3 linked regions of the Callithrix jacchus genome follow. The protein of the gene in region 3 interacts with the protein of the main gene of each other region in a pairwise test. Links are inferred from orthologs where the notes say so. Each region holds a gene or a part of one and is shown on either strand. Other genes may lie near its edges.

Region 1 (3,605 bases), on a different chromosome or scaffold from region 3:
AAGGATCGCAGGTGGCCTCTGTCCCCAGGCTGCAAGCTGCCATCAGGCCTGGGAAGTGATGAGGGCCTCTGCCCTGACCTTGTGCTTGGCCCTCATCACAAGGAGTGTGTGTGCGTGAGGCAGGGGTACAGTGGCCCTGGAGTGGGACCAGGGCCCATCGCCAGCACCAGGCTGGGAGGGGATTTAAAAGCAGGATTTAGGCCAGGTGCAGTGGCTCACTTTGGGAGGCCAAGGCAAGCAGATCATGAGGTCAGAAGTTCGAGACCAGCCTAACATGGACAAACCCTGTCTCTACTAAAAATATAAAATTAGCCGGGCATGGTGGTGCGTGCCTGTAATCCTAGCTACTGGGGAGTCTGAGGCAGGAGAATCGCTTGAATCCGGGAGGTGGAAGTTGTGGTGAGCCAAGATCACACCACTGCACTCCAGCCAGGGCAACAAGAGCGAAACTCTGTCTCAAAAACCAGGGTCCTGTCTGAGCCACCCCGTAGGGACACTCAATCCCATCCTGTTAAGGCCGCAGCACTCGAGGGCAGGCAGTGGGCCGGGCCCCCGTGAGATCAGGACGGAGAGGGGGACCGCCCAGAGGAACTTTAGTGTTTCTGAGAGCACCGTAGTGTTGCCCCACCTCGGCCAGCGCCATGGAGTTGGGAAGGGAGCCATCACCACTGAGGGTCAGCACTAGTGTAAACAGGCATCCCCAGCCATGCAGATAAGCCCCCCAACCCAAGTGTGGAGCCCTGCTCAGGGAGTACCTCAAGGGCGCCGACAGGCTGGGACACCGCCCTGGCAGGAGGGACCCCGTAGAATGCAGGAGACCCAGCAGGGGGTGGCGGCCAGTGTGGACGGAGGGGCAGGGTGTGGGCACCGGCCAGTCACTGTGGCAGAGGCACGAGCACCGCCACGTAGCTGAGCGGGAAGAAGCCCGACTGGCCGTCCAGCATGCCCTCGTACCAGTTCTCATCGATCTGGTTGGTCAGCGTGATGACGTCGCCCTCTCGGAAGCCCAGCTCCCCGTCATTCTCAGGCTCAAAGTCATACAGCGCCTTGCAGCTCGGCTGGTCCAGGGGTGCTGGGGGCGGGAGCAGGCTGTGGGGCTAGCGCCTAGGCTGGGGCTCCTATAACCCACCCCACCCCACCCAGCCTAGGGTCTCAACTCAGACCTGCTGTGGCCTGGAGCCTGTGGGTGGGTGGAGGCCACCCGCTGCCACTTCTGGGGTCCAGCCTCTACTGCCACCCAGGAGGGAGGACGGGAGAGTCTTGGTAAGTGGTCACCACAGCTGCTCCTATGAGGTACTAGGGACACCCAGTGCTGCTGGGGTGACAAGGAATGACCAGACACCCTCAACCCTTAAAGCCACCACACAGCCTAGAGCTGGGCTGATGCCCTTGGCAGTCACAGCAGCAGGGACATGGCAGTTCCTCATTCACACAGTGAGGTGGCGTGTTGCAAGGTGTGGGCCTGTGCCCGAGCCTGTCTCCTTCCTTGGGTTGGGCAGAGGACCAGGGTGGAAGGTGGAAGGCAGCACTGAGGCTGTGGCGGGCCTGGGACACTCACGCATGCTCCTGCTAGGGGTCCGGATGGGCTTGTCGGAAGATCGGAAAGACGACGAAGCTAAACATAAGCAAAACGCAGAGGCTGTGGCTCAATATGGTGGGGCAGGGCCTCCTCTGCAGTAAGCCAGGGCCAGCCCTTGCCGTCCGCCTTGGTGGTCCAGATGGAGCAGAGCTGAGAGCTGTACCCAGGGGCCTGGTGCAGAGACCCAAGACAGGCCCAGCCCTCAGCCACCCTACCCGCTGGCATCCACCTCCAGAAGATGGCTCCACGCCCCATTACCTGTGATCTTGGGGGCTGAGGTGCAGGGGAGGCCCCCGTTGGACTGCTCAGGCTCTCCGAGGTCAAAGGGCTCCCGGGGCTTGGGCTTATACTCCCGCTTGGGGCGAGAGGAAGCTTCCCGCATCCTGTGAAGGGAGAGGCAGCCCCACCCTTGTGTTTACACCACTGCCTAATGACCTAGCTCGGGAGAGGGCGGCAGTGGGGTGGTGACACCCAGACTCTGGAACGTGACTCAACTGGGATGTCTACCCAGAGGGCCTCCAGCCTGGACCCCCACTTTGGGGGCGCCTCAGAGGCTGGCGAGCAGCTGCGTCCTGCTACAGTCTCTACCTGCAGGGCCCCCAGTCACATCCCTCCTGCCTCCTCCCTGCTTTCCCACCACAGCTGGTGCCTGACACATGCCAAGGCCCTGAAGCAGGTTGAGAGACGGGAGCCTGGGTGTCCTTGAGGCAGCAGAAAGTACAGCCAGGGAGGGGACAGGCACGTGATCAGGAGTCCAAGGGCCTGCGTCGGGGGTAGGGCTTGGTGTTTCAGAGTTCTCAGTCCCCTGGCTCCTCTGACCTCAAAGCCCTCAGTCCTCTGGGGACCAGCCCCTCCCTGCACTTGGACTTGACCCGGGCACTGTTCTGCCAGGCACTCACGGGAGCAAGGTGTGCTGCCCACACCCACCGGCAGAGGGCGCGTGGCAGCACAGGGCCCCGGCTCACCTGCGCTTGAGCTTCTCCGCCAGCTCATCCAGGATCTGCACGGCTTGCCGGTGGTAGTCCAGCTGCGCGTCCACCAGAGCCGAGAGCTGACTCACCTGCTCGATCTGCGGGGACAGCAGGGCTCAGGGGCTCCTGCCAGCACAATTGTCCTGTACCCGCCCTGATTGCAAGGTAGATTCATAGGAGGCAGAGGGGCCTGGGGCCTGCACCCTGCACCCTCAACTGCCCCTGCTGCTGCGGCCAGGTTGCTGCCACCTCCATCCTTCAACTCCCTTGAGGCCCCCAAGCTGGCCTCCCAAGGACACGGCGCCCCGGAAACTCACATCCGTCCCCAGGAGGTTGTGCATGCTGGTTTCCGCCACCTCCTTGGACTCCTCAAACTTCTCCAGTGCCTGGCGCAGCTCCTCATCAGGGATCTTGCCCTGCCGTTTCTTCTTGTAGTCAAAGTCCAGGCGGCGGCCCTCCAGCTTCTTCAGGTGGTGCTGGGGACAGTGGAGGACACAGGTTACATCGGCAACAGCTGGAGGTCTGCCCCATGCATGGTGTGACCCACCATCCCTGCACCACGGGCACTCGCCTGCCTGAGCGAGACCCAGAGGGCAGTGCCGAAGCTGGAGTGGCGTAAGGGTGGCGGAACGGGGCCTGCCCCACCCAGCAGGGCGAAGGGACAGGCCTGGGGCTGACGCAGGGGCAGCACCTGGATCTCCTTCAGGTCCTTCTCGCACAGGTTCTGGAGGGGGTCGATGAAGTTCTGCTTGACCTCTATGTCCAGGGAGTCCTTCACCTCTGCCAGGCGCTTCATAGACTCACCAGCATCCAGCAATGCATCACCTGTGGAGAAGCAGTCGGGGAAGCCATCACAGTGGACCTGGGACCGCGGGACTGAGAGTCTCCTTAGCTGTTTTTGAGACAGGGTCTTGCTCTGTTGCCCAGGCTGGAACACAGTGGCGCAGTACTACCTAACCACAGCCTCCAACTGGGCTCAAGCCATGCTGGCACCTCAGCCTCCCGAGTAGCTGGGACCACAGGTGTGTACCCACATCCAGATCCTTCCCCACTAC
Region 2 (4,049 bases), on a different chromosome or scaffold from region 3:
GCCTATATATAGATCCACAGAATCCTTTTTTAGTGGCTGCGAAATATTCTGTAAGACGAATGTCCCATAATTCATTCAATCATCACCCTGAGTTTCCCAACTCATTAATATTTAGGATAGGTCTTTGTGCATATACTACTTTATGTCCTTTAAGTTTCAGTGACAGATTTTTAGAAGTGAGGTTTCTAGGTCAAGTGAAACATCTCCAATGTTTAAAATTTTATATTTAAACAAAATTCATTTTAGGCCTTGAGAATTTCTGTTTTCTTTTTCATTATGCAAAATTTTTTTATCAACCTTTCATAATACTTTACATATTTTATTCTTAAAAGCACATACATTATGTCAGAAAATACCCCTGTCACTTATGCTTACGTAGTTATAAATAAATAAATGCTTAAGTTATGACTGTGATATCCAGCGTTAAATCACTGTGCAAATGCTTATGCCTTGGTTTATCAAAGTCATAATTCATTGTGGAAATCCCACCCCCACAGCCATGTGGCAGCACTAGAGTTGCAGTCCTCACATCCTGTGACTCCCTCTCACAGAGTAACTATATAGACGTCAGGACCTCCACTTTTTCTAATTTCAACAGTTAACCTTAAAAAGCTTGTGATGGGAGAGACAAATAGCAAGAAACAACAAATTCATGGCCATTTTGGGTTTCTAATATCGACAAATTATTTGTAACACAATGAATAATGCTCCTGTACTACATCAGAGCCTATGTTCCATAAGAAATAAAAACCTATAACCAACATGTTGCTATTATTATTATAGGAACCTTTCAAAAACATAGTCTTGAAACATTTTTCAGTAGAATCACTGGATGAATCACACTTCACACTTCTTTTCTCTATTTCAGATTCAAGTTCTAATTGCAAACTTAAAACAAAAAAAGCCTAAAAGAAATACTTTAACCAACGAAGCTCCTTATAATTTAGTTTCAGACTCCTTCATATATTTTAAAGACCTGAGCACCAACAGAGATTGTTAAGACACAGCAAGTTTGATACAGAAGTATGTGACATGCAATTAATCTCCATTCATACCCTGCTCTACTTGTCAGCAAACAAAGGTTCTGCTTTAGAAGGAGATCTGAAGACTTCAATTAAAAACAGTCAGCTAACAAGAAAATAATCTAAGCTAAAGGAAGGTGGCAGGTGCAGAAATGAGTTGTTTACCAAAGTGTCAGTTCTGAACAATAAAGAACTGCACATCAAAAATGCTGAAGGAGTGAATTTCATTGCAAGCCTCTGAAAATAAAAAGGAATTTTCTACCAAAGCTAGACAAAAAACTGAATTAGAGTTTAACAAGCTTATAAAATAGGTTTCCTCTCATCAAATGACAGATACCAATAAAAATAATCACTTTATATCTTTCAATGCAAGGACAGAGTTAAATTTTTGCCACAGTTCCTTCTCTTAGAAACCAAAGACAATTACAGCTTTCCTTCACAAGACTAATATTAAACCAACAGCAGAGGGAAAGCCTGGAATGCTTCTTCTTAGACACCCAGATAATGCTCTTTTACCCTGCAAATACTTTTCTACCCGCAAAGTTTAGATTTATTCTCATCACCAGTAAAATGGATTTTGGAAACCTCTCCTCAAAATAAAGATCTAGTTGACAGCTTTTACATAGAGGCAATCCAGAATGGAAATAGTGCTACAAACAGAGACCAAAAGGACTTGCCAAATATTTGATTAGGAGGCATTTATACCGAGATAACAAGGTAATGGAGATATAAAACCAATTAAATTGAGAGAAACTGAAAAAAAAAAAAAACTGCTTGCCAAAAATATGACCTGCCCAGAGCAGGCCATCTGTTAAATATGTGTCAAATACGTCAACTTAGATGCCAAAAGGCTTAATTCTGAATAGTTTCCTCCTGGGACCTTATGCAACTGCAGATTCCAGGCCTCTGTCCTCCCTGGAAGGTTAGTCACAGGAATGCAAGTAAAAGTGACTTTCACCATGAAACCCAGCAGATGAAACTGCCCGTTAGCGACGTCTCTTTGCCGTATCTCTTTGGAGTGTTGGCAGAGTGTGTTGAGTGTTGGTGAGGATGGCCGCAACTCTTTAAACCGCTGCTTAGACCCTGTAGTTGGAAGGTGGACACACCACAATGGGAGCACTTCTAGAAAAGGAGTTAAGGCCATACTGGGAACGAGCCTGCCTTGGGGTGGGTGAGACCCCTAAACGTCTACAGGGTGATAAAGGGAGGGCCGGGGTTTTCGCTCTGACAAAATTCTGGTCAGCCACCGGGCCTTGGCCCATGGGGATCCCACCAGCCCCTCGGAGCCCCCCGGAGAACCGCAGGGGCCTCTAAGCAGGAAGGTTTGGGGTCTTCTGTGAGACGTGAGGAAGTCGGGGCTGGGGAACGAGGGGGACGGGAAACCCAGAGATGTAGGGGAGTACCTCGGAGGAAGGGACAGGGGGAGGACCAGGCCAGGTGGCATGGGGACCAAGAATCCGGCCTGAAGGAGTGTAGAAGCCTGGGAGGTGAAATGGAGGCGCCGCGGTGCCTCGAGGAAGATGTGGGACTCTAAGGAGTGAAAGGGGTCCTGAGGTGAGAGGATGGAAAGCTGGCTCTGGGGAGTTGAGGGCTCTAGAAACCTTGAGGTTCTAGAAGGAGGTGAGTGATGGAGCTGAAAAGAAAGCCCGGCCGTGGGAGGCCTGGTGTCTCCTCTCCTGCCTTCGGCTCAGCACAGGAGGGGGCCTGCGCCAGGGCGTTACCTTCCAGGAGCCAACGGATCTCCTCAGGGAGGGCGGCGGCCTGCATTTGGCTGGGCCAGAGGGAGGCGACGTGCGAGGCGGGACGGGGCGCGGGCCCTGGTCGGGAGGTGGATGGGCTGGAGGGCCACCCGGTTGCGCCGCGAGGCACCTGTACCTCAGCCGCGCTCGCTGCCAGCCCAGCCCGGCCGCGGGGCGGGGCCGTGGGTCCCGGGGCGCGTCAGGAAGTGGCGCGGGCGGCGGGCGGCGGGCGGCGGGCGGCGGGCGGCGGGCGGGGGCCCGGGACGGGGCGGCGTGGGTGCACGTGGCGCTCACGCCGGGGCCCAGCGGTAGAAGGATGGGGATGCCGGAAGCGCCGCACCCTGAGAGGCCGAAGGTGCGCCCCTCCAGCACCCACCAAAACAGAAGACTTCACAAGGCTCAAAGGAACCACGGCTTTGGAGACTCCATCCTAAAGCACCGAACAGTTGGCCTCGCGGTGGCAGACGTGAAGGACCACGGGGTGCCTGAGGGGTACCCGGAGGCAGAATCCAAGGAAGAGATGAATCCCCGGGACCCTCAATTGGCGTCCAGTTCGCACCTCCATCCCCAGAAAGGAGGGCAGATCATCACTCTTAGGGAAGCCACAATGTTGGAAGTCCCAATGAACAATATAAGGCCACCAACATTTGGGAGAATCGCCGCCGCAGCACGGCAGCAAGGGACGCAGGAAGCCAAACTGTGCCTTTCTCCTGTAGGCTGGAAAGGCCCTGAGGAAAGGAAGCGGTAACTCAGGGAGAAAGCCGAGGGTGAGGAGAACAAAAACCCTTTCCCTCCAAGAGCTGAGGAAGGGAGGAAAGTGAAGGACAAAATCACAGGGCCTCATTCAAGGTGCAGTGGGTGTCAGAGTCCCGGTTGTGACATGGTACTGTAATACTGCCAGATGTTACCCTTGGAGGAAACTGGCTAAAGGTACACAGAGCTTCTCTATTATTTCTTAAACTCTCTGTGAATCTACAATTCTCTCAAAATAAAGAGGTTTTTTAAAAATAAATAGGTCAACTGCCATGAAAAAAGTACAAAGTGCTATGGTTGATAAAATAAGGGAGTTGAATACAAGAAAAGGAGGGAAGAGGCCAGGCATTGTGGCTCACACCTGTAATCACAGCACTTTGCGAGGCTGAGGCAGGAGGATCGCTTGAGCCCAGGAGTCTGAGGTTACAGCAAACTGTGGTCACCCCAATGTACTCCAGCCTGGGCAACAGAGCAAGACCCTGTCTCTTAAAAAAGAAGAAAAAAAAAGGAAATGCCAGTGTGCATGTGAGTGTTT
Region 3 (4,153 bases):
ATCTGTAATCCCAGCTACTCAGAAGGCTGAGGCAGGAGAATTGCTTGAACCCAGGAGGCAGAAGTTGCAGTGAGCCGACATTGCACCATTGCACTCCAGCCTGGGCAAAAAGAGTGAAAATTTGTCTTAAAAAAAAAGCAAATCTGACCAGGTCATTCTCTATCTTGACGTGTTTCTGCGTTTTCCTCCTTTCAGTCTACAAGACTCTGGGAGATCTGGCCTTTCCAGCCCTATCTCTTGCCCCTCTCTCAAACTGCAACAGTACAACCACGCATAGGTGCCGGAAATTCTGCGAGCACCAGGCTCTCCAGCCACCAGGAGAGTCTGGACTCTGGTGACTCAGGGCACGCATCCTGTGGATGGCTCGGGTCCCTTTGTTTGAGAAGTCTTCTGAGTCTGCGTCCCAACCCGTGTCAGGTGCCTCCTCTGAGCTCCCCTGGTTCCCTGTATGTACCCTGTTACAACTGTTACCTATAGATTTGTCGCTGCCTGTGTCCCTGTCTGCCCACCTGGTCTTGAGCTTGGGGCATTTGGAAAGGGCAAACCCACCAGGTTCCTCACTAAGTCCCAGCCTGGCTCAGCGGAGACTGCCCCTAAACATATGGGGACTGGATGAATGAACCACAAAATGCCGAGGGGCCTGGGAGGTACGAGGCTTTGGAGGTGGGCTCTGCCCTCAGAACAGCTAACGTAGTCAGTGAGATCAGCCACGCCGGGCAAGGAATTAAAGGACAACAGAAGGCTTAGATAACAGCTTGGAACGTTACAAACTGGGTCACAAGGCTGCGTGATAGACTGCGCCAGAGCCACCTCCTCGGCGAAGCCTTCCAGACGTTTCTCTGCTCAGTGCTGAGGGGCACTAGAGATTTCGGGAGAGCTAGCGGACCCGCCAGGGGCTCTCTCTGTGTTCCAGCTTTCTGAGAAAGGAGACTCGCTACCTTCCGGGCCAGCTTTAGGGTTCTACGAGCTCAAGTCTGGCGGGACCCTGGAAGCCCGTTGCAGCCACAAATTGTTTCCACTCGTCATTGTTTCTTCTTTTCTTCTGCTCGCGCTCTCCCGGCCCCGCCAACCCCGCGACCTCCCACTGCCTTACGAGGGGCCCTCTCCCTTCCCTCAGCTCCGCCCTGCCCGAGGAGGCGGGCCCGGCCGCGCGGCGCACCAATCCGAGAGCCCCGAGCCGCTCTGCCTCCCGCGAGTCCCGCCCCACGCCACCACCCGCCAATCGTGCCGCGCGCCCGCTTCACCGGGCAGCCCAATCGCGGGCGGGTTGAGCTGCCGGCGCCCCGCCTCTGCCGCGCTTGGCGGCGGCTCGGCTGGCGGTCGCTCCGGGCCCAGGCATTCTCCGGGCTCTGGCTGCAGCGTTGGGGGCGCAGGGGGCGGCGCTGCTGCTCGCGGTGTGCTGGGCGAGGCGGACGCCAACGGCCGGGCCGAAGGGCACCTCAGCTTCGCCGGGGCCCGCAGCGCGGGTCCTAGGACGAAGGAGGAGGCGGCGCCCCCTCTGCCCGGGGCCGGCCCGGTGCCTGCCCGTAGGAGACCCGCGTCCGGACGTTCCCGGCCCGCAGCGACCCCGACGCGCCTCCCGGAGAGGCCCAAAGCTCCCGGCCACCCCCTGGGGGTGTCCCGCTTTCCCGGGCCTCACCTGCCCTGGCCTCCCCGCACCCAGGTGCGGGGGCGTGAGCAGCGAGGGCGCCTCCCCCGGCCGCCAGCGGAGCGGGGGCGGGGCCTCCCTCCGCCCTCTGCCTTACCGGCCAGCCCGGCAGCCTCTCTCAGTCTCACCAGTCCGCCCGTCGCGCCCGGCCGCGCGGCGTGAGCTCCCCGGGGATCGCGGCTCGGGATGCTGCCCGCCAGCGCGGCCGCTCGCCCGCAGTCCGGCACCCCCGCCTCTGCCTCTGCCTCCTGGGCCATGCCCCGCTGTTTACATGCCGGTGAGGTACCCGGCCGCTCCGAACCCCTCCGAGCCCCGACTCCCCGAGGGTGAAGCCCGCCGGCCCGCTAACTGGACTGGTCGGTCGCTCAGACCTGGGGCCCGGGACTCCGATCTCCGCCGCCTCCGCCACCATCTGGGCGGGATCCGGCTCTGGTGTTTTGAGGAGGGGGTGTGGTGTACGGAAAGAAATCCCGTCCCTCCCCACCTTTTTTGGCCCTCGGGGCTTCAGACTCAGGGAACTCGCTCATGGCTTTCTTGATGAAGAAGAAGAAATTCAAATTCCAAACCACTTTCACCCTGGAGGAGCTGACTGCGGTCCCCTTCGTGAACGGGGTCCTCTTCTGCAAGGTCCGGCTGCTGGATGGAGGGGATTTTGTCAGCTTGTCGTCAAGGTAAGAGCTGGGGCCGTCGCGCCTGCAAGGGGGGCGGGGGCGGGGGTGATGAGCGAAATCTAGCCACTTGGCAAGTGTAGAAGGGCCCTTTGGGGCCGGGGTGGGGAGGGTCCGGGGGATTATGTGTGCCTGGGGCAGGTTGCACAAGGCAGAACTGGGCCTGAGGAAGTTGGCAGGGTGCCAGGCAGCCGCCAGCCAGATACCTGGGGGTCTAATCTTTCAGCTCCCTCTTGGGGCCCTGCCTGCTGCTTGCGATAGGCCCATTCTGCAGATTTGCAGGTACAGCCTGTCAGGGATTTGCACCCTAAGAGGGTGTGCAGGGGAGGGGTGTTCCAGGCCACCTTGTACCGGAACTGGCCTGTCATATGATTTAGAGTCCAGGCCAGCCACGGGTTCCTCGGCACCCCCAGGTGCCTGGGTAGGCCTGATGGCTGGCATTCCCTGGTCTGGCTGGAGGGAGGTGGCTGGATTTTGGCCTACCCAGCACCCTCCGAGTGACTGTCCTCCTCTGGCTGGCGCTGGGCTGCTTTGCATTGCAAATGACCTTGTCTAGGAGGCTGCTGCCTTCTCTGAAAGAGGCTCCGTTTAGTTTGGTTTTGTGTTGTTCGTCCCCATCCTGGCAGGTCCAGCTGCCCAGCTTATTGCTGAATGCAACTGAGTTCCTAGGCTGTCCTTTGCTGACCGGGCCCACCTGGGGTCACATCGTCCTGGCCTGTGTCAGAAGAGCCTTGGAGCCCTACAGATGGGGGTGTGACTTTTGACTCTGTTACTTTCTGGACCTTCTCTTCTGGAAAGTGGGCCTAATACAGGTGGAGAAGCTGCAGCAGCTAGAACTCGGGGCAGGCCGGACGCCATGGCTTATGCCTATAATCCCAGCACTTTGGGAGGCCGACATGGAAGACTCACTTGAGGCCAGGAGTTCAAGACCAGCCTGGACAACATAGGGAGATTCTCATCTCTCTTTTTTTTTTTTCTTTTTTGGGAGGACACAGTTTTACTCTGTTGCCCAGGTTGTACTGCAGTGGAGCCATCTTGGCTCACTGCAACCTCCACCTCCCGGGTTCAAGCAATTCTCATGTCTCAGCCTTTGGAGTAGCTGGGACTACAGACAGCCACTACCATGCCCAGCTAATTTTTGTGTTTTTATTTTAATTTAATTTAATTTTTTTTTTTTTTTTGAGATGGAGTCTCACACTGTTGTCTGGGCTGGAGTACAGTGACACGATCTTAGCTCACTGCAACCTCCACTTCCTGGGTTCAAGCGATCCTCCTGCCTCAGCCTCCCGAGTAACAGAGATTACAGTTGCGTGCCACCACAACTGGCTAATTTGTTTGTGTTTTTAATAGAGATGGTGTTTCACCATGTTGGCCAAGCTGGCCTTGAACTCCTGACCTCAAATGATCCACCCACCTCAGCCTTCCAAATGCTAGGTTGACAAGTGTGAGCCACTGTGCCCAACCTCTGTCTCTATTTTTAAAAAATTAAAATGAAATAAAATACAATACAGGCAGGACCTGGCCCAGTGCCTGGGAAGTGCTGCTTCCCTACCTGGTCTGCTCTTTGCTCCTTGGGCCTCCTTGTGGGCCCTGTTAGCCAGAGCTGCCTCACTGTTCTGAGAGCCCATTGGGTGTGTTATAGGTGGAGAAACTGAGGCCCAGAAAGAGGAAGTCAGTGGCTTGCCAGGGACCTTGAAGGAGTCTGTTGTTTACTGAACTTGGCCAGTTTGGGGACCTCTTGGATGAATCCAGAGGTCAAATGCTTTGCTGGGAGGAAGGGAAGGGAGGGGAACTGCACAGCCTAAGTCAGGTTTAGGAATCTGTTGTGGACCGGGTG

Evidence for each region.
Region 1: the proteins of EEIG1 (region 3) and SH3GL1 interact in binary tests that used the Homo sapiens proteins (3 or more experiments, as listed by UniProt). The two-hybrid records come from large-scale screens. The link is inferred for Callithrix jacchus from reciprocal best matches to the Homo sapiens genes EEIG1 and SH3GL1.
Region 2: the proteins of EEIG1 (region 3) and SKAP1 interact in binary tests that used the Homo sapiens proteins (3 or more experiments, as listed by UniProt). The two-hybrid records come from large-scale screens. The link is inferred for Callithrix jacchus from reciprocal best matches to the Homo sapiens genes EEIG1 and SKAP1.

The regions. Positions count from the first base shown.
Region 1 is NC_133523.1:4,108,040-4,111,644, forward strand, and holds part of SH3GL1 (endophilin-A2), read right to left. Parts: exon of another isoform or gene 3,376-3,605; coding exon 3,242-3,375; exon of another isoform or gene 3,027-3,241; coding exon 2,868-3,026; exon of another isoform or gene 2,649-2,867; coding exon 2,545-2,648; coding exon of another isoform or gene 2,471-2,544; intron 1,963-2,470; coding exon 1,838-1,962; intron 1,616-1,837; coding exon 1,559-1,615; intron 1,073-1,558; coding exon 876-1,072; 3' UTR 1-875. UniProt on the Homo sapiens protein: Implicated in endocytosis. May recruit other proteins to membranes with high curvature.
Region 2 is NC_133506.1:117,853,363-117,857,411, reverse strand, and holds the start of SKAP1 (src kinase-associated phosphoprotein 1), read right to left. Parts: upstream 2,896-4,049; 5' UTR 2,790-2,895; coding exon 2,744-2,789; intron 1-2,743. UniProt on the Homo sapiens protein: Positively regulates T-cell receptor signaling by enhancing the MAP kinase pathway. Required for optimal conjugation between T-cells and antigen-presenting cells by promoting the clustering of integrin ITGAL on the surface of T-cells.
Region 3 is NC_133502.1:176,605,221-176,609,373, reverse strand, and holds the start of EEIG1 (early estrogen-induced gene 1 protein), read left to right. Parts: upstream 1-1,337; 5' UTR 1,338-2,173; coding exon 2,174-2,319; intron 2,320-4,153. UniProt on the Homo sapiens protein: Key component of TNFSF11/RANKL- and TNF-induced osteoclastogenesis pathways, thereby mediates bone resorption in pathological bone loss conditions.